Mytilus edulis: one gene and its partners. The protein of the gene in region 3 purifies or fractionates together with the protein of the main gene of each other region. This does not show direct contact. Links are inferred from orthologs where the notes say so. Each region holds a gene or a part of one and is shown on either strand. Other genes may lie near its edges. The genes, in order: ragulator complex protein LAMTOR3-like, ragulator complex protein LAMTOR5 homolog and neutral amino acid transporter 9-like.

The links.
Region 1: the proteins of neutral amino acid transporter 9-like (region 3) and ragulator complex protein LAMTOR3-like purify together in Homo sapiens (affinity purification with mass spectrometry; 3 studies listed by BioGRID and IntAct, with this or other methods). This does not show direct contact. The link is inferred for Mytilus edulis from reciprocal best matches to the Homo sapiens genes SLC38A9 and LAMTOR3.
Region 2: the proteins of neutral amino acid transporter 9-like (region 3) and ragulator complex protein LAMTOR5 homolog purify together in Homo sapiens (co-immunoprecipitation; 5 studies listed by BioGRID and IntAct, with this or other methods). This does not show direct contact. The link is inferred for Mytilus edulis from reciprocal best matches to the Homo sapiens genes SLC38A9 and LAMTOR5.

What each region holds. Positions count from the first base shown.
Region 1 is NC_092352.1:54,988,937-54,995,901, forward strand, and holds the start of ragulator complex protein LAMTOR3-like, read right to left. Parts: upstream 3,042-6,965; 5' UTR 2,985-3,041; coding exon 2,976-2,984; intron 1-2,975. UniProt on the Homo sapiens protein: As part of the Ragulator complex it is involved in amino acid sensing and activation of mTORC1, a signaling complex promoting cell growth in response to growth factors, energy levels, and amino acids.
Region 2 is NC_092344.1:37,230,489-37,238,070, forward strand, and holds the start of ragulator complex protein LAMTOR5 homolog, read right to left. Parts: upstream 3,016-7,582; 5' UTR 3,001-3,015; coding exon 2,891-3,000; intron 2,025-2,890; exon of another isoform or gene 2,010-2,024; coding exon of another isoform or gene 1,975-2,009; intron 1-1,974. UniProt on the Homo sapiens protein: As part of the Ragulator complex it is involved in amino acid sensing and activation of mTORC1, a signaling complex promoting cell growth in response to growth factors, energy levels, and amino acids.
Region 3 is NC_092344.1:81,385,497-81,393,044, reverse strand, and holds the start of neutral amino acid transporter 9-like, read right to left. Parts: upstream 3,043-7,548; 5' UTR 3,003-3,042; coding exon 2,878-3,002; intron 1-2,877.

The DNA of each region.
Region 1 (6,965 bases), on a different chromosome or scaffold from region 3:
ACCTCCACCCACATCCCTTTTGCTGGGGTTCGTGTTGCTTAGTCTTTAGTTTTCTATGTTGTGTCTTTGAACTATCATTTGTCTCTTTGTCTTTTTGTTTTTTAGTAACAGCGGTGTCAGCTTATTTTTGATCTATTAGCTTGACTGTCCCTCTGGCATCTTTTGACCCTCTTCTAAAGACTAAGGAATTGACACTTCACACTATGTTTATTTCAAAACCAGAAGAACCAAGGTGTTATATATATACTAACAGAATTTTAGTTTCTTGGAAAAATGTGTCATACATGTGTAATAGAGGGACAGATGAAAGCCAATGTACCCCATCAGGGGTTCAAATCAACATTTGGTTGAATGTGAAAAAAGTGAAAGGTCCACAACCAAAATCCCAGGTCCTACTTTTATAAGAAATATTACATAACTCATAAACTCATTTTGTTTCTCATAAAATGAACTTTCCAGCTTATAAACAGTTTTCAACCTCAAATATTGAAGTAGTGCTAACCAATATCAACATCATTTTTGCTATGGATTTCAAGAATAAATTCATAGTCACTGAGGGGATTCCCTTTTTTGCAAGAACCTTACATCTATTTAACTGATCAGGCTTACATTGCTGTTTGAGAATAAATTGTCCATGTTTCATGCTTGACAATAAATCTTAACCCTTGTCGTGCGGGGGCTGTAATGTTACGGCCGTATCCAGACCACCGTTATTTAGGCATTAATGGCGCTCCATACATTTGAAGGTCATCATAATGCCATTTAATTCGTAGTGTATGCAAGTTTCCTCAATCTGACACTACTGATTGTCATGTTTGTCACTTTTAATATTCATTTTGAGCTCAAATACGAACTTCAAAATTAGATATCGGACAAAATTGGGTTTTTTGGAGGGATGGGCTTACCTTCGAGGTCTGAAACATGGAGTTAAGAGGACTGAAACCTTGACAAATACTGTTTACCTAAAGGCCCAGACGACTGATTGTGTTTATTATCAAAATACGCCTAGGAAACGACTACTTCAGGTTGCAAATCCAGTTAAAGTTCAAAATTGAAAAAAATCAGAAATTTTGTGAATTTTGGTGCAAATGACCTTCTATACACTGATGAACCCAGATCAGTTTCACTCCGACCTAACAACTGTTGTGATAAAAGTGTTCACTGGGGTCCACTCTACATAAAAACTACAGATGGATGCATCTATTACATGTATTAGCATCCCTTGGACTTACAGGTCGAGAAAAAGAAAAAAAAAACGTCAAAATAGACGCTTTTTGCACCTGAGGACCAACTTTGGGGCAAATTCCCCCCTACCCCACCCTGCGATCCCCTATCTTAGATTTATTGTTATAAGTATGTATCAGCATCAGGGTACAGCTCATTTGCATATCATTTGCATATTTTTGCAAATACTCGAAATTTAGACAATTGCTGATAACAATTAAGCATGGTAAGGCTTAAGACTTAAAATTTGGGTCACTCTCATGGATCCACTGCTTTAAACCAGATAAATGCTGGGTTGTCAATTTTTGTATTATTATTGGGTCTATTTTATGATTTTTTGTAACCCTTCAAGCAGTCTTCTCGCTGAGGGGCAGCCCTGGCAGCCCAGGCTTGTAAAATTGCTCTTGGGCCTGTAAAAATCATATCTGCAGGCCAACAAAATCTCACTAAAAAATTTCAAAAATTGAGCTCCTGGCCTGTAGATTTAACAGTTCATCGTGAAGACTGTTCAAGTGCACTTTCTTTATCTTAACGAATGAAAACTGTAGGCAGTATGTACACGACATTAGACCAGTCAATTCATCAAAATATAGTTGATCTAACAGGGCTTAAATTATTATATCACTCCCTAATTTTCAAAATCTTCTTTTAGTCTATAACATGCATAGTGAGATCTTCATTTCTATTTCTTTTGTTTTGTTCACGTAAATGACCATGATGACGTTCATCATCTTCAAGGCTTTTGCTTGAAACATTTAATTATCTCAATTTCAATCATAATATGGTTTTGAAATTAAGATACTGATGGTTAAAAAGGACAGCAAAGTTTAGTTTTTATTTTATTTTAATCGAAGGTCCGTCTGGCATAGCTAGTAACTGAAACAATAGTCCAATTGCAACAGTGGAAGGTCGTAGACCCCTGGCAATGCATGAAAACAGGATTCAATAATAATATACTTATCAGGAAGCACATTTTCTGATTCTTTTAACAACTTTATCAACCATGATAACATGGATAAGGACAGAAAAAAATAATCTTTATTTGGGAATTCCTTGACACTTGAACTAGTTTTTAGATTTAAAGATAATGAGGATAGTGTTTGAACAGTAAATGCTAATGTGAGGGCAGGAGTGCTATATATGTAGAATTGTTAAGCCTATGTGATATGGAGATATAAATAGTGAACCAGCTATGAACGATTGGACTGTGTAATATATATATAGTTAACCTTGTTTACATGGTGACGGATTAGTTCGCATGCTGTATATATGTTACTGTTATACATTATAATAACTACGTATACTGATTTTATGAGTGCCCAGTGTGTAAGGGATAGGGTGCAAATAAGGCTGCAAATAAGAATTACGCTATAAAAGCGAAGCTCCTGCTAGAGGAGGAAGATAAAGATTAGGTAACAGGTAACAGGTTGTATTCATAATTGGATAAAAAACACCAGATTATAGATTAAAAAAACAACATACACTATTAAACTTCGGGAGCTCATCATGTAGTACCTATCTAAGTAGAGTAGTTCCAGTATAATTTGGAAGATAAAGGAACTTCATCTGAAAAGACCCTCCCATAATTTTCAAGTTGAAGTTTTCGCTATGCGGCAAAACGACAGTTAGGCCTGGCATTTGGGTATGAAATCTTTTTCACAGTTGAACTCACGATCCTGATTTCTTTTAAAATTCAATAAACAATGTGTCTGATAGTAGAGAATAAACTAAAAAATAAAATAAAATCTTACGTCTGTCATGATGTACACTGTTTCTGTTTTCACAGTGAAGAGCTTTTAATGGTAAATCTTAAAACTTCAAAATCACTTTAAAAAGTATAGCACAGCAACGGACAAATATATTTTCCAAAATGTTGTCGTGCAGCTTTCTTTTGTTATTTTGTTTCCATTTTATTATAACTTATTTTGATTATAAGCATTTGTGAATTTTCCATGATGAAATTTAGCCAAAAGATAAGAAAAGCAAAATCTAACAATGGCGGATCCATACCGACATTTTGTTAGGAGGCACAGTGCCAATAACTGCCATAAGAGGGGACCCACTACACTAATGCTTCAGTGATTCACTGTATAACCAACCACATTTTTACCATGCAAGGGGGAGGGGAGGGCATAGCCGCCTGAATCTGCATTTTTTTTAAAATGAAAAATACTGGATTGCAAAAGTGGGCTATGCATTAATTGTTTTATATATTCGCCTGTTCTAACCAATGACAAAGTGAAAAATTCAAGTGTTGGACTTTAAAACAATAATCGAGGAAATTTTATCTCAGGACTTTTGCGTGTTTTGCGCCCCAAAACTATGGACATGTCCTTCTTCTTCTCTGGATCTTTACACCCTTTATAGGGTAACCATACTTTGTATGTCGAACAGTTCCACCACCAAAAAAATAATTGAAGAATAAATTAACAATCGTAACACAACAACATTAGATACACTATATACATTTTTTAAGTCTTCATGTGTTTTTATAAAGGAGGTTTACAGGTTTTATGTTGACTTTTACATGGGAAGTTTACAGTTTAAGACTTTTAACATACAATTAAAGGAAAATTATTATTTTTACTTTTAGCAGTTATTTTTCATATATTTTTTTACTTGTCCACTTTACTAAGTTGTGAAACTGCCTATTCTAGAGGTGGCGTGAATCAGATGTGGATACTTAAAAATTTCAAAGATCTTTTGGAGTACACACAATCTAACTCTCTTTCATTTTGTAATAGTATTAAAACATTATATTTTTATACACTTTATACAAGTATTCCTCATTCCAAACTAAAAGACAAATTGAAAGAGTTGATATTGCTTTGTTTCATAAAAAAGAATGGCCAAGCAACGAAGATACAAGTACCTTGTCTTAGGAAGGGATAAATCCTACTTTGTAAAGGATCACTCTGATTCAAACAAAAAAAATCTGAAACTGACATTATCAAGATGCTTGATTTCTTGATTGACAATATATTTGTTACGTTCGTAGGATGTGATTTCCAACAAACTATCGGCATTCCAATGGGAACGAATTGTGCCCCTCTTCTTGTCGACTTTTTTCTTTATTATTATGTGGCTGAATTCATACAGGAACTTCTTAGGAAGAAAGACTTTAACTCTACTTTCCGCTATAAAGATGATGTTCTTTCACTCAAAGCAAAATTTTGTGACTATGTTGAACGCATCTATCAATTCTACTAGAGATAAAGGATACAACAGATACAGTTAAGTCGGCCTCATATCTTGACTTACATCTAGAAATTGACAATGAGGGTCAATTGAAAACAAAACTTTACGAAAAAAGAGATGATTTCAGCTTTCCAATTGTGAACTTTCCATTTCTATGTAGCAACATTCCAGAAGCGCCTGCATACGGTTTATATATCTCCCAATTGATACGATATTCCCGTGCTTGCATTTCCTATCATGATTTTCTTGATAGAGGGTTGTTGCTCACAAGGAAGCTATTAAATCAAGAGTTTCAAATGGTGAAGTTGAAATCATCACTTCGTAAATTTTACGGACGCCATCACGAGTTGGTTGTCCGTTATGGAATAACCGTTTCACAAATGATATCGGATATGTTCATTACGTCATAACTACAATCCCCTCCCCTTTCATGATTGTGACCTACCGAATTAGACTATTTACCGGATTTGTTATCTCATAAGTAACACGACGGGTGCCACATGTGGAGCAGAATCTTCTTACTCTTCCGGGGCACCTGAGATCACCCTTAGTTTTTGGTGGAGTTCGTGATGTTTATTCTTTAGTTTTCTATATTGTGTCATGTCTACTATTGTTTGTCTGTTTGTCCTTTTCCTTTTTAGCCATGGCGTTGTCAGTTTATTTTAGATTTATGAGTTTGTCTGTCCCTCTGGTATCTATCGTCCCTCTAGGTGATCTTTTAAACAGTTTGATAAACCGACGGTGCGTTTGCGCTTTTTATTTATAAAAAAAATATATGAAAACAGAATTATCATTTTTCATTCACGACAAATTTAGGCGTGTTTGAGATGGGAACAATAAGGTTCGAGGCATACCTAGGTTTCAGAATTTAACGAATGCATCATTCGAATGTAGCAAACAATATCCCAATTCAATTCATGAAAAGCTCGGCCATTAGTGCACAGGTATTTATGTTAGATTTCTGTAACCTAGTACAGATGGTGGACAAAAGTGAGTTTCCAATCAAAAATATTTCAACTTAAATCGATATTTTTCAAAAAATGTATTACCAAGTACTTTTTATGAGCATTTCTTTATAAAATGAATACCGTAAGATGTAGAAATGTGTGATTTTTTTATTGTATATTTGGCCATGATTTTCGTGAGGTTAGTTTTCATTTTCTATTGGTTGAATAACAAATTTTTACGATTTCAGTTTGGTTAGAAACCGAAGCAAAACAAACCTTTCCAGAAATATTTTTTTCTTTTTTGTTCACCTTGTCAGAAAATTAAGATGAGCCTGAAAAATATCATTGCGAAATTAACAATAAAAACTTTAAACATTTCTGCATACTGTGGTATTTCTTTAATATAAATCGGTCATCATTGGTAGTTACTTGGTAATATGTAATATTATATTTTATTTTATCACCCCGTTAATGTATCTTTTATGTTTTTGTGTCTTTGAAGAGTATTTTTCACGCATCGGTGACGATGATGTAATGGAATTTGATGCGACTGTCATACAAGTGAGAGGTTTAGCTAGCTATAAAACCAGGTTCAATCCACCATTTTCTACATTTGAAAATGCATGTACCAAGTCAGGAATATGACAGTTCTTGTCCATTCGTTTTTGATGCGTTTTGGTTTTTGATTTTGCCATGTGATTATGGACTTTCCGAATTGATTTTCCTCTGAGTTCAGTATTTTTGTGATTTTACTTTTGAACAGCATCCGCCAACTACATTAACTCAGTATAAGTGATATCAAATCTTATGTTTATAAACCGCAAATATTCTTTTGTTTAAGTGAATTTTATTTTTTAAGGGCATACGATACAGTTACAGTGGAGATCATGACGTTGCTAACGTAAACTGTTATTTTCGCGACGTCAAACTGTGACATACCGGGAAAAGATGCATTTTTCGACTGATTTTTATCATTCAAACTGATTTAATTTGAAAACGAGTGCATGGACTCCTATTTTTTAAAACGACATATTGTTTCATTTTGCAGGGAGATTATGTGAACCAAATTTTATAAAACTGTAAATAGTGCATTTTTTTTAATGTTGATAAATATACAGCAAAAAAATACGTTTTTTTTTCTCAATTCATGACCATTTGATAAATATGAGTTATTTCTTAATAAAAAATTCATAAGTTTTTAGGATATTTATAAAATACAGAAATTACAAATTATTTAACAAAAAACAATTTGTGTTTATCTTTTAAAAAAAAAAAAATATGGCTTTCTTTCGAAAGGGAAAATACGGCCACAAATCCGAATTTTGAGCAAATATACAAAATTTCGACCTCATTTAACTCAAAAAGTAGCATATAAAGGTATATTTTTTATTACATATTTGATTTAATCAGGCAAAAAAAATTAGCCTATATATAAATTTTCATCAAACTTAAATACGGGATCAAAACTGTAGCGTATGCCCTTAATTGAGCGTAAACGTCCATAAAATTGAAGCGAAAATGCCCATAAAATATTATCAATGTTGTATCAAAAACGCAAACGTCCCGTGTCGGCAAAATAAGTTGCTACTGATCAAA
Region 2 (7,582 bases), about 44 Mb from region 3:
AATTTTACGCTTAGTCTGATATCCTTGTAATATGGAGCAGGCATTACCTATGAAAGGGGACCAAGTCTGTATGAATTATTTTTTTTTAATTCAAACATATTTTAACTTCAAAATCTGTTAAAGGGGCAGTTAGCTATTAGATATATATATAAAAAAATCTAATATATTTTTTTTTTGCTAAATCATTAATGAAATGGAAATAGTGAAATAACAATCTGCTTTTAGCAGCCAGTATGGTTTAATTTTGTCATTATATGCTAAATATATTGATTTATATGAATTATTCACCTGCAAGTGAAAAATTTGACCTCATTGTCATTGAATCCGTATTCATGTGAACTTCGATTTAACCTCTTAGCTTGAGATTAATAACACATGAATTGTATGTGTAAAGTTATTTAAAGGAAAAAAATGTCAACATTAAAAGTTAAACAAAGGTAAATCATTTGATTGACTGATTCAATCCAAAAAAAATCTGTGTTATACAGGTAAAAACGATGATAAACATTTATTTTTCATCTTTAATATGAAATAAAGTAGACCTAGAAAAGTCCAACAGCACAAATTTGCTTAATCTATTTATATCTATATATATATGTTAACATCGATTATATGGTCATCAGATGACTTTTGAGGTCAACACAATAGTTAATGAGATGGCATCTAGACTAAAATACACATGAAACAAAGCTATGTATTTTCATGCCCATGCCCTGTTAATTGTTTATTTTACACATTTAATAGTGTAGATAAATGTTTAACATTGTTTTAAATCAAATATGAGAATTTGATTAAAATTGGTGAACATGAAATTGACAGCTAGTGCCCTTTTAAAAAAGAAACAAATATACATGTACAAATGTATCAAGTAACATTTCACAATTTCGTTCTGTTGTTAGAGATTTTAGCTGTGACATTATTTAAGTTATGACTTTATATTGATCAATGTACATAAACAAAGAAACACTATCATCAGGTAATGTGTTTTTTATATCAAAGAATTGTTAAAAATGAAATTGGTATTGTGTTTCTACAAATGTATATATATATTTTTCTGGACTGATAAATAAATATTTTACTCAAAGTCTCATGACAAACGAGACCTGAAGAAGGAAGTAGATTTATGTTCAAATAGGCCAGTTCTGGGATACGGTTTACAGACCAATCTGTCATGTGACTTCCATCACCAGGTGACAAAAATGTATGCATAGAAATTTCAAATACATGTTGAGCAAAAGGGTGAAAAAGTTTTATTCTAAACTGCACAAAATATTTTGGAAATTAAAATCTAAAAGGATGGTCACCTTCCCTCGGTCATATGGCAATCACGATTATGTACTTATGGAACATTAATTATTTCTATACTACCCTACAGAATGACGATTATGAAAGTGCTGGAATGACGTCATAAAGGCGTTCGAAATTGACGATCTTTTCCGGTGAAAGACATGATTCCAAAAATGACCTTTGCATGAAAATAAACAAGTCTAAAAAATAAAGATAATGATTTTGACTTCATAGGGGGTCTCATTGGGGGGTTTGGATCCCGGATCCCGCTTACAGTACTGTTTTATCAGATTCCCATATCACCGCTTACACTATGTACATGTATGTTAGCAATTCTCATATTTTTCTAATTTCCTGTGTCCCGCTAGCCTTCACTTCCCGTTTTCACGGCACAATAATTTGACTTTCAGGTGTCACGCTTACAAAAAATCAGCAATCCCGCGTAACACTTAGACCAGAATTTTTCATTGTACTAATGAAGTCAAAATCGTCCAATTTTTTTTTTGTCGCGTTTTTTAATTTCCGGATCTGCGCAGAACACATAACTCTACTTCCTTCTTCCAGTCTTGTTGTCGTGAGACTTTGATTAGTCTAGTAAAATATAGAAAGTCAAGGAACACAATACCAATATTTCATTTTTAATCATTCTTTGTCTTTGGTATGAATAAACGTTAGGCCTACATGTACCTGATACATTGCGTTTCTTTGTTTACATTGAACATGACGTCATAACTTAAATAACGTCACAAGTAAAATCCCTAACAACAGAACCAAAATCGGAAACGGTACGGTATTTCCGTATCTTTTTTTTAACAAATATTTAAATTACAAAAAAAATTAATTTAAACAAACTTCGTCCCCAAAAATTTCACAGGTACTGCCTGCCTCATATTATTAAGGTTCATCATAACCTTTTGGCTAAAATGGCCGTATTTACACCCCAAATTTTACTCTGAGTACAGACTAACCTATACACCTGCAACAGTTTTAAGGGATGGCAGGAACTAGATATATAAATTTTAAATGCATTTTATGTTTCAGAAAATTATAATCTTTTCTAGATTTTGCTATCCATTTTTTTTCGTTCCTGCAGAAGGTGCAAAAATTAACTAAGTAGTGAAAACGATTGAGAAGCTCCCCTCATATAATCAATGTTGTGAGTAGTATTGATTTAAATGGACAATAGATGGACAATAGACACCTGTAAACAATAGGTTATTTAACAGGTTTAAACTGTGTAACTGAGTGGACCGTATCAAATGAAACTCGGGTGTTTGTTTATTTTGCTATCTTCTGCAGACTGGAAAAAAATGAACATCAAAATCCAGGTAACTTTTTAATTTTCTGAAACGTAGACTTCATATAACTTTTATATATCTAGTTCCTGCCATGCCTTAAAACTTTCCTGGATGTACCAGTTTGTCTGTACTCATAGTAATTTTGGAGGTGAAAACACGGCCATATTTTTCAATTCCTTATGATGAACCTTAAGTAGAAAGGCTATATGTATATCGACCCCTGTGGCTGTGATATGACTGACTCTTATCTCTGTAATGATCAATGTATGAAATTTCACTGAGAAGCCTTTAACATGCTACCGTACGTTTCGTCTAAATGCTTTTCCAGGACTTTTTCCATGTTTCGTCTTTGGACTGCAACCGGAAGTAGAATTCTCCGCCGGATATAGTACACATTTTCTACCTCCCTTTCCATAATGACAGAAGAGTGGGATAGCCAAACGGAACAGGTTGTTTACAAACTCTTTTTCATTTCATGAGACCAACAGGTAACAAATAGCATTATATTTAAATATGAGAATAGTTATACCCGTGGATACTCAGTCACAGTGATATGTGTACAATTGTTCCCATGGGTTATGTAAATAACTTATTTTGATTTTGTTCAGTTGTTGACGTTGTCATGTTGTGAATAATTGTAATAACTTTATAAATTTTGCAAGATATAAGTTGAATACATGTAATGTATATCTTAATGTGTATACATTTAAACCTTCTCAGAAAGAGGATGTCACTTAACAATAACCTGTCGTATGTCAAATTATATCTTTGTCAGTTTATAGATGTGGTACATGTACATGTGTATAAGTGCCAATAAGACAACTCTCCATCCAAGTAGCAAGTAATAAAGGTAAACGAATAAAGAATAAGGTACGGCCTTCAACACAGAGCCTTGTCTTACACTGGAATGGTTTAAAGGGCCCTAAAAATTTCTAGTGGAAAACTGTACAAACATTGTTTTAAGATTTACATTTGGGACTTGGTGTGTATGTAAGCGATAAATTTGTCCTTGTAAAATATGTCCGGGCGGACCCAAATTCCTAGTATAAAATGTCCATGGTTACAAATTTTACTAGTAAATATAGTCTGATGTTAGTAAATTTTGTCCCCAGACTAATTTACCTAGGAATATAGGTCCATGTCATTAATAATCCTAGGTAAAAATGTCCATGTTGATAAAATGTAAGTAACCAGACTAACTTTCCTAGGAAATCATGTCCGTGTTATTAATATTAATAGGGCAAAATGTTCATGATTTTTATAATTTTAATTAAGGTTTAAAACTTAATTTTAACCAAACTAACTTTTTCCAGTACCTTTCATGTTTGATTTTGTTAAAGAGTTATGTAATAATATATGAAAAAAATACGTACCCAGACAAATTTTCCTAGGAAATCATGTCCATGATTTTTATAATTTTAATTAAGGTTTAAAACTTATTTTTAACCAAACTAACTTTTTCCAGTACCTTTCATGTTTGATTTTGTTAAAGAGTTATGTAATATTATATGAAAAAAATATGTACCCAGACAAATTTTCCTAGGAAATCATGTCCATGATTTTATAATTTTAATTAAGGTTTAAAACTTATTTTTAACCAAACTAACTTTTTCCAGTACCTTTCATGTTTGATTTTGTTAAAGAGTTATGTAATATTATATGAAAAAAATATGTACCCAGACAAATTTTCCTAGGAAATCATGTCCATGTTATAATTATTCCTAGATAAAAACATCCATATCATTTAATTTCAAAGGTTTATTTACATAAATGGTTTTAATATTGTTTTAGAGTTATGTATTAATATTTTTTAAAGTTATATCCCCAGACTAATTTTCCTAGGAAATCATGTTAATGTCATTATTATTCCTCGATAAAGACACCCATAATAATTATGTTTAAAGGTTAATTAACATGGCTTGTCTTGTTTTAATAATGTTTTAGAATTGTGTATTGATATTATGAAGAAAAAAATATTTCCCCAGACTAATATTTCTAGGAAATCATGTCCATGTTCTTATTATTCCTAGGTAGAAACGTCCATGTTTGTTATTTTTAAGTGTTGTTTTGATATTGTTAAAGAGTTATGTATTTAGATTTAAAATAAAATATTTCCTAAGACTAATTTTCCTAGGAAATTTGGTCCACTTTCTTTATGTTAATTGGAAATTATTATCAAAACTTTCAATTCTTAACTAAGATGGGGTTGTTTATTCAATAGTTTTCATCATAACATTGTTTCTAGTAGAGACAGAGTGCCAGTGGTACTCTGGACACATATTTACAACAGGGATCATATGAGCATCTTTGTACATTTTCACTTTGAGATGCATTTGATTTGACAGGAATGTCATACATTGTATGATAAAATCTTTACAGAACTGCATGTGATACATTTAGCCCCCTAGTCAAAATAATGATGATGTCTTGAAAGGCTATTATATTTTTTTTCTTTAACGCCTTATTTTGCTGGAAAGCGTCAAATCAAGAATTTAAATTAGCCTTCCAAGACACCATCAATATATATGGACTATTAAATCAGCCCCCTAAGCATCAATTTGTAAGATATGAAATTCACGTAATTTTAATGCTACATGTACATGTATTTTAGTATTATCACAGGGTTTTCGTTAAGGATTTTTGAAGGCGAGTCCAGGGACTCATCATTTTTAGCCATGATAATTCCAACAGCAAGAAGATAATATTTTATTGCAATATAATGTAATATTTTAGTCTCCATTTCCTAACAAAGCAATGCAATGACATTAAATTCAGATCACTTTTAAACTTTTGCTATAAAATGATATTTGTGTTTAACTGTGTTCAGTTTATACAAAATATTTCAATCATGATGCATCTGTGGACTCACCAGTTTTGAAAAAGGCGAGTCCAGACAGATTTTGATGAGTCCAGGACTCATTGACTCACCTTAATGAGAACCCTGTAATATCATACTGTAAAAATTAATATGAGGCAGGTATTACAATGTACCTGTAAATGGGGACAAAGTCTGTATTAATTCAAATATGTTAAAAAAAAGAAACGGAAATACTGTAAGGTTTCCGTTATATTGTTAGGGAATTTAGTTGTGACGTGATTCCGAATATCCTAGATAATTTGGTTGATTCTCTTTGGCATATTCAGCTGGTTCATTTTAACACAATTTTATTAATAATTTGATTTGGCCAAGAAGAAAAACAACTGTAACCTACATGTATTTGATGTACATGTAAGAACAAATCATGAACCTGCAAACAAGTCACTAATAAGATGAAAAAGGGATTGGTCAAATGTGTCAAATTTTTTATTATCTAATAATAATTGGTAAACATTAATGTTAACACCTTATTGATTTATTGAAATACCTACTTGTAGGATGAAATGTTCATTAAATTTTTATTATGATGCAGTCTCATTAGCTGCAAGAAACAACAGCGCAGGCAGCAATAAAATACAAATTAAAAGTGTCAAAAAGTTGTACATTTTCTTTTGCAGAGAAGTGTATGATTTAGGGACGACATCAAAAGATCGATGTAGGATAAAAAACTTAAATCGAATAGTTTGGGGGTGGGGGGTCAACATTGCTGCAAGTTTTGTTAATCTAAAATCGATTTTACATATATCCATATAGGTAAATCAATTTTTCCCAAATTAAGTTCAGAAGGGGGGTAGGGGGGGGTCAGCGAAAAAACTATGTGAATTAAGTTTTTTTATCCTACATTGAACTTTTGATGTCGTCCCTTACATCATGAACATATTTACTAAATAATTTTTTATTTTTACTTTCTTTATTTTATCACTATAAATAAACAAACCATGCCCTAAATAACATGTACAATTTTTTTTTTATGTATACATGGTATATGTTATATAATTTTTGAATGAAGTGTTTTATTATCTCCCTGACTTGTTGCCTTTGTTGTCTTTCGGTTTTTGCTATGGCATTTGTCAGTTTTTCTTCATTTAATGAAGATGATATTTTCTCCCTTTTTTTTAGAGAAAGAATAAGTAGGATATATATATATTTATTTCGCAAATCCTGGGCCAAATACAGTAAGCAAAACAACTCTTTCTTACTTTTCAGGGCTAAATTATAAAGAGCAAAACAACCCAGTGTGGATAGGAATACAGTCCAAACCACCCGTTTGCATTATTTATATAAGAAAATTCTAGTCCTTTCAACAAATCATGCAAATGACATACCGCTTTCCAGTACATTGTATTGTCATTCACTGGTAAAAGTTCATCCACTATGCAAGCCTTTATGACTTCATTTACAAGATTGAGGGTCTGTCTGTATCCCTGCACTTTTAAAGTTCATCAAGGGTCTATGTGATCTTTATTCAGGATAAACTAGAAATAATGTTTGTTCTGTATGTACTTACACTGTGTATGGTGTAATCATATTTTTTTAATCTTTTAGCCCGTTTTGAATTCACATTTCTTAATCAATGTGAGAAAATATTTTTCCTTATTGTGAAATATATTCTTGGCAAATGATTGGTCAAATATTCTTGTTTCTTTTGAATTTTCCTATCGTGACATCATGAAAAAAGGCTACCATGTCATATGACTTCACATATAAAGAACACAAATTTCTGCAAATTTTTGAAAAGGAGGGATAAAAACCATTAGAGAAAAGGATTCCAATACCATAAATACATTTTTTGTACTATCACTTGTGTATTTCCATATTTCTCCACTCCCAACAGAAAAAAAATAATTTCATATATTTAAAAAGCAGGGCAAGCTTTGAAATGAAAGGGGTTTAAATATTTGAACAGGTGCCAACCTACACCCTAACCTGAAATAATAGTGTAACATCTACATTGGACAGAAACAACACAACTTCACATAAGTAAAATATCAATTGAAATATGTCTTAACTCAATGATCAATCAAAAGACATATTAACATGCTTAACAAAAACAAGTATTAAACATACACTGAACAAATAAATTTGATCTATCATCAATATTAATGTAAATACAAAATTA
Region 3 (7,548 bases):
GAAAGTGTAAAAAAAAATTCGCAATAAAAACTGTAAATCTACCTGTCTTCATGTTTTTGACAAGTTTATGACCTCCAGGTAATTAACATTTTTAACAGGTGTTACAAGTTGTGATTACAACTAATCCGCTTATCGCCATCGGATGGGTCACTAATCCGTTAATTATTATTAAACCCCATAATTGAATGACCATCATAATTATTTCCCCAGGAAAATCAGCCAGTCGGCAAGTCATTTCAACAATCAGGAGTTTAGTTTCGTCAATTAATCAAAAATGTAACAACCCGGTCAGTTCGCATTTGAATTTCAATATTTTTCCAACGATCTGAAGTTCATTTGTCGTAGATTCGTCATTCGAAGGCATTTTCGTCATAATTGATTTAAATTTTCATCAAAAAACTTTCGACAATTTCCATTTAAAATACATGAAATAAAGAACTTTAATGTGTTTATTCAAAACTTTCACGAGTTAAACAGGTGCTTCCTGTATTGTATTCTTACGCATGCGTGAAAGTATTCTTTTGACTATTTATAGACTTTAAAAAAACGTAAAATACGAAATCATTTAATTTAGAATCAATTAAACGAGAGAGACAAATATCTCTTACTAAAGGAATTTAAATAAAAAAATGATAATTTCCTGATGAATCCGGACTCGTTTTGAATTTATTATCCACGTGTCACTTCCCGTTTTTGTTTCATTTTAAAACCGAAAGTGGTAAACGTGATCTATTGTTGATTTGTTTACAACCTACTTTCAGTCATTATTATAGTTCCAAAAAGGATTTTACACATTTCCAACTTGAAAGAAATGATTCCAAATATCGATTTAGACCTTTTATATGGATAATGATTATGCAGTGAAATAATCATTGCAAGTTAATTTCTGCTGTGATTCCTTGTTTAAAAAAAATAGAATCCAACTTTTGTTGATCAGGAATGACCCCTGGAACAAACTGAAGAGAAATTGTGAACTAAATTTCTGGATTCCATGTCAGAATCTTTCATAATAATGGCCAATACAGTCAAATCATACAATAACTGCCAATCATGCTGGTGCCTCAATCCCTTAAAATCTGACAAAGTCAAAAGATGAAGCTAGTAATATGCATCATTGGCCCCTTGCTTTTACACAAAATAAGGTTGATTTTAATAGCGCGCAAAAGTGACTAAAGCCCTCAAAATCCTAGCTTAAACCCTGAACATGTGTATAAGTCTAGTAACTTTGGTTTAGGATAATTTAAGTTAGAGAACTGAAATGCAAAATGCAGCAATTTCTATGTTTATAAAGGGTCTTAATTAAATAATTAATAAGTTATATAACCCTTTCAAGACTAACAATGCCTTGAGGCATCCCCATAGCCAGGCTGAACAATGCGTTGAGGCATCCCCATAGCCATGCCGAACAATGCTTTCAGGCATTGTCAATCACGTGATAAAAATAATTTTCATCTTTCAACTCATTTCCCCCTGTAAAGCTAAGAAAGGTAAAAGTGACGCTACCCAAATTCAAGTTTGATCTGTATGTTGTAAGCATTGTGTATAAGTTTCATAACATTTGGTTATGGCAAAATAAAGTTTGAAACAGAAATCTTTACCTTAAATCCATTGGATGACCGATGTTGGATGTGAACTCATTGATAATTTAGTCCTTGATAAACAATTTTTTATTAGTTGTTTTGGGCTTTGAACTAGCTGTCGGTAAAGTGCAAGTAATCTTATATCTGTTGTACTTAGTGTCTTTTTGTTGTTGGAATGTAAAAGTACCTGGCCACATCCACTCTGTGTTTTTGTTTGATGTAATTCTATTTGTATCCATCTGATGCATTAAGCCCTTTATCAATTAGGTTGTTAGTTTTCTCTTTTTAATTTGTAATTTATGGGTTTTGTTCATTGTTGAAGGCCTTGCGCTAACCTATAGCTGTTAATTTCTCAAATTCTGTTCCATTAGGTCTCTTGTGGAGAGTTGTCTCATTGACGACATTGGCAATCATACCACATCTTCTTTTTTATATATCCTCTTCTGGGTTTTAGTGCTTTTAGAACGCATTATGGCGTCACAATTTCCATTGAAAAAGCATGCATGATACAAATCTACATGTAGTCTTTGTTAGTTTTGTATTATTTTTAATTTTAGTTTCTTGTGTACAATTTGGAGTTAAGTATGGCGTTCATTATCACTGAACTAGTATATATATTTGTTTAGGGGCTCCGTGTGCGGGAATTTCTCGCTGCATTAAAGACCTGTTGGTGACCTTATGCTGTTGTCTGTTCTATGGTCGGGTTGTTGTCTCTTTGACACATTCCCCATTTCCACTCTCAATTTTATATGACTTAAAAAACATATGATCTGACCATAATATTGAATACACCTTATCGCTATTTGTCCGCCATTGCTGGAAATCACACAGGTTCCCGTAAAATTTTGACGTCATAAAACAAAATGTCTGACGCCACAATGGAAAAGTGATTGTTGTTGACGTCAAAAGTTCAAGCGGACGGGTCAGCCGGGAATAGCGATAAGGTGTATTAATCCTATTCAAAGTTATCATCTCCTGACTTTTTCAACTTTCAGTGGTGATCAAGAGGAGAGAGTTCCAAGGCTGGAACCCCCCTTTTTTTGAGGATCAATGCATTTGAAAGGGAACATGAAGTTGGAACCCCATTTATCCCTTTATCCTGGGTTGGAACCCCCTCCCCCCCCCCCCCCCCCCCCCCCCTTTAAATGGCTGGAACCGCCCCATGCTATGTTTATTGTTTACTATTTCCATCAATTTTCAAAATGGCTAATAAAAATCTTGTGTTCTTTGAAGAAAGCTGACAAAGGAAAATCTTGAGTAGGGGTGTAAACAAATAATTTTTGAGGAACATATTTGCCTTGTCTGACTTGAGGCAGAGGGTCCTTCTTCTTTGTTCTGCAAATTCTCAGAATTTGATGATGAAAGTAAAGTTCGTATTTCGTCGTCTGGGCTGTTTACGGACATGTGACGATTTCTATCCATTTTAAAACGAAGTAAAAGTCAGTTTGTGAACTTTGATAACCATATAAGGCACAAAATGTGCACCATAATTCAGTTACCTTGTTTTGTAACCCCCATTGACATAATGGTTACATTGGTTACATTGGTTACACTCATATAAACTATCATAAATCATGATATTCAGAAATTCTCAAATCCTGGTACATTTGTAACCTCCATTGACCTAATGGTTACATTGGTTACACTGGTTACAGACATGCAAGAATCCCTTTTAGCCATCTTGTTACCATGGCAACCCCATTATTCATGGCTGTGAGGTTACATAAGTTATTTAGGTTACAATGATTTAGAGTTACAATGGTTACATGCATGGAGAATCAGGTTACATGTATAGGGAATCAGGTTACAATGGTTACATGCATGGGGAAGTCGGGTTACAATGGTTACATACATGGGAAAGTCAGGTTACAATGGTTATATACATGGAGAATATTGTTACAATGGTTACATGCATGGAGAAATAGGTTACAATGGTTACATGTATGGGAAAATCAGGTTACAATGGTTACATGCATGGAGAATCAGGTTACAATGGTTACATACATGGGGAATCGGGTTACAATGGTTACATACATGGAGAATTTGGTTACAATGGTTACATGCATTGAGAAATAGGTTACAATGGTTACATGCATGGAGAAATAGGTTACAATGGTTACATGTATGGGAAAATCAGGTTACAATGGTTACATGCATGGAGAATCAGGTTACAATGGTTACATACATGACATACATGGGGAATCAGGTTACAATGGTTACATACATGGAGAATTTGGTTACAATGGTTACATGCATGGAGAATCAGGTTACAATGGTTACATACATGGGGAATCAGGTTACAATGGTTACATACATGGAGAATTTGGTTACAATGGTTACATGCATGGAGAATCAGGTTACAATGGTTACATACATGGGGAATCGGGTTACAATGGTTACATACATGGAGAATTTGGTTGCAATGGTTACATACATGGAGAAATAGGTTACAATGGTTACATGTATGGGAAAATCAGGTTGCAATGGTTACATGCATGGAGAATCAGGTTACAATGGTTACATACATGGGAAAGTCGGGTTACAATGGTTACATGCATGGAGAATCAGGTTACAATGGTTACATATATACATGCCTGGGGAATCAGGTTACAATGGTTACATTCATTGGGAAGTCAGGTTACAAAACTATGTCCACCATGATGGCCCTATGTGTCCATCATAATACTCCCTGTTGCTAATTAATACACAAGGTATTAATCAAAAACTAGTCAAGGATAAAGGGAAATCATGACTGCATTGAAGTGTTAAAATTACATAACCTACAGGTAAAGTGTCTCAGGTAAAATATGTGTTTGTCAAATTTAATTTCTGTGGTGATTATGACCAGAAAATTGAAAAAATAAAATGAAATAATACAACTAGTTGAACCAGAGACATATAAAACACATATAGCCTTATAACATTTTTTTTTAAATGTCTTGTGACTTTGTTTTGATGTTAAATTTTTTTTTTTAACTTCTATCAATTTATGTTATTTTTTACAAGTACTTTTTGACAACTGAAGATTAAATGAATGTCATCTTCATATATAATGCAAACTTTCACAATACCTGTCTTTTTCTATTGAAAGGTGTTTCAAAAATCAATTTTCTAAATTCAAAATTGTTTATACTAAGAGAGACGGATCTGCATTTAACATTGTTTAACAAATGTTTAAGATAATATCTTTAGGACTTATTTTAAATATAATTTAGGCAATTCATTATTTCTCTATTGAATAAATATATTCAACATATATTTATTACAGCAAAATTTCATAATATTTTGTATTGTCATATATCTGAGACTACTAGACAAGTATCTTTAAATAGTCTAATTCATTCAAGTCCCTGCAGTTATTACAATGTATTAACTTTATCTAAAAGGTCTGGTTTTAAGTGAAATATTCTTGGCAAATGTATACAAGATTATATGAATGTAGGACAGAGAGTCACAGCTCAAAATTTCACGGACAAAAAAATCACAGGACAAAAAGTCACAATTCAGTTTTGAGATTATTTTTCTTTGAATAAGAAAACACTTCAAAAAAAATTTTGTATTTGCCTTGAAGTTTAATATATGAAGCAACTTTGTAATTAAAATGTATTTAATAAATGTCATTAATAATTATCAAATAATTGTTTATGAAAAAAAAATGCCAAAGTGACTTGGTACTTTAAATTGGTTCATTTTGCCAATAAATATATCCTTTGCATGTTTAAAATTTAATACATTTTCATTATCAATGTGTATATATATGTATCATGCCAGTCCAGCAGTTTCGACAATATAATACACAAGAGAAAAAAAATATGATTTTATTAATAGACCATAAAAATGTCACAATCTATAGACATGGTAGAAGTGTATTTATTTTTTCTGAAGACAAATTTTGGTTATTAACTGACAGATATTAGCCAAACTGACGATAACATACTTGATTTTCAATTGTTTTAAAAAGCAAGAAAATTTTTCATTAACTAGTTTCTTTTCATAATGCAATTAAGATTCACTTTATTCTGAGAGCTAAGAAAAATATGATAAAAAAAAATAATGAGCGATAACAAAAATTAATGAGCATTTATACAAATTTGATATTCCACCGCAGTATCTACTGTACTGTTTAAACTGTTTATTCAAAATACACTCGGACGCAGATTTCCTGGCACCGATTTCCTGCATAACAGGAGCGACAAAGAATGTAGGACAGAAAGTCACAGGACAAAAAGTAATAGACAAAAAGTCACGGACAATAAGTGACAGGACAAAAAGTCACAATTATTTTTTTCTGGCTATTTTCTTTGAATAAAAAACGCTTATTTCTACAAAAATATTTTGGTATTTTTTTTTAACTATTGTATATATAAACCAACTTTGTAAACAAAATTTATCCAAAAAATATCAAAGATGATTAGATAATTGTTAAAAAAAAAAATGTGAAAGTGGCTTGACACTTTAATGGCTTCATTGTGCCAATAAATATATCCTTTGCATGATTTTTATTAAATAAATAATCATTTTTCAAGTATAATGACACATTTCCTTAACTTTAATATGAATATATGAATTAAACAGTGAATACATCACTTACATATTCAAACAATTGGCAACAAATTATTTGTGACCTTTTGTCATGTGACTTGTTGTCCTATCTTTGTGACTTTATGTCCTGTGACATTTTGTTCTGTGACTTTCTGTCCGTTTACTGAGACAAATACACATAAATTTACAAATAACATAGATAGCGAAATGAGTAGAATACATAAAATGAAACAGTAAAAATATTTTTTTAACAAAACAAAATATATACTAAATCTTTTGACCAGATCGCAAAAAGTCTGTGCAATCTGTAAAGTTTAAATAACCATGTGATCAATATATTAAGATATGTGCATTAGGTTGGTTCTAGAACACCCAGACAAAGTCCTAGTAATATTCCTTATTATTCCCAAAACTCAAACTAATTACTTATATACAATCTTTGTTGATAGCTAGAAATATCTTATTCATCAAATTTGTCTGAAATTTACTGAAATAATTTAACACAATTAAATCTTTATCAAAAATTGAGAAATACTTTGTTTATTGAATTCATTTGTTATAATAGTTTAATATTGTTTTAGTTTTTTTATTATTCAGTTTATGCCTCATTTGTTGTTTTTATTTTGACTTGGGACATCGTAACTGTTACAACTATCCTAAGACCCCAAAATTCAAACATATATCTTATCTTAGAAGACTTTTTTAAGACTAATTAAGATGTGTCCTAAGACCAATACATGTATACCATGTATACAGGTTGAAAACATACATATGAAACCACAGCACAGGGAATCTGATGTTTTTGCGCCAAAGAAGAAGCCTTTTAAGCACCAGATATTTAACCCATTTTAGTGAAATTTAAAAATGTCAATGACCATTTTAGAGAAATATTTTAACCCATTCTAATAAATAATGTATGATCAATAAAAAACTTGAATAGACTCAAGACAGCACTATAAAACATATCTTGTCCATTAAAATACAGCACTAAAAGTCTAAAAGGTTAAATCAAATGTTAAAAGTCTGTTCTACCCTGATATTTATATATCCTATGAGAAAGTACATATGGGCTCTGCATGAATATACTCCCTGTACAATACTATTCATAGAATTGCATACGGAACTGTTCTTTCTCTTTATCTTGTCTAGAATGTGGTGCACATTCCTGTATACTTTGTAATTTTAAATATGTTGTTGTTTGAAATTTAATAATAGTATCAAGGAAAATGTAAATAGCTGGGTGACAACTATAAAATTGCTCATTATAATGGGCATGGAAAGACTCTGGACCATTAATTGGTTGCTTTGAATTACACTCCCAAAGCTTAAGTGGGAATATAGAATCTTCAGTTCTTCCCAGTTTCTTCTAAGAGATAATCTGCGAATTCGATACATCTCTTATTGTATTTCCATGATGAACATATAA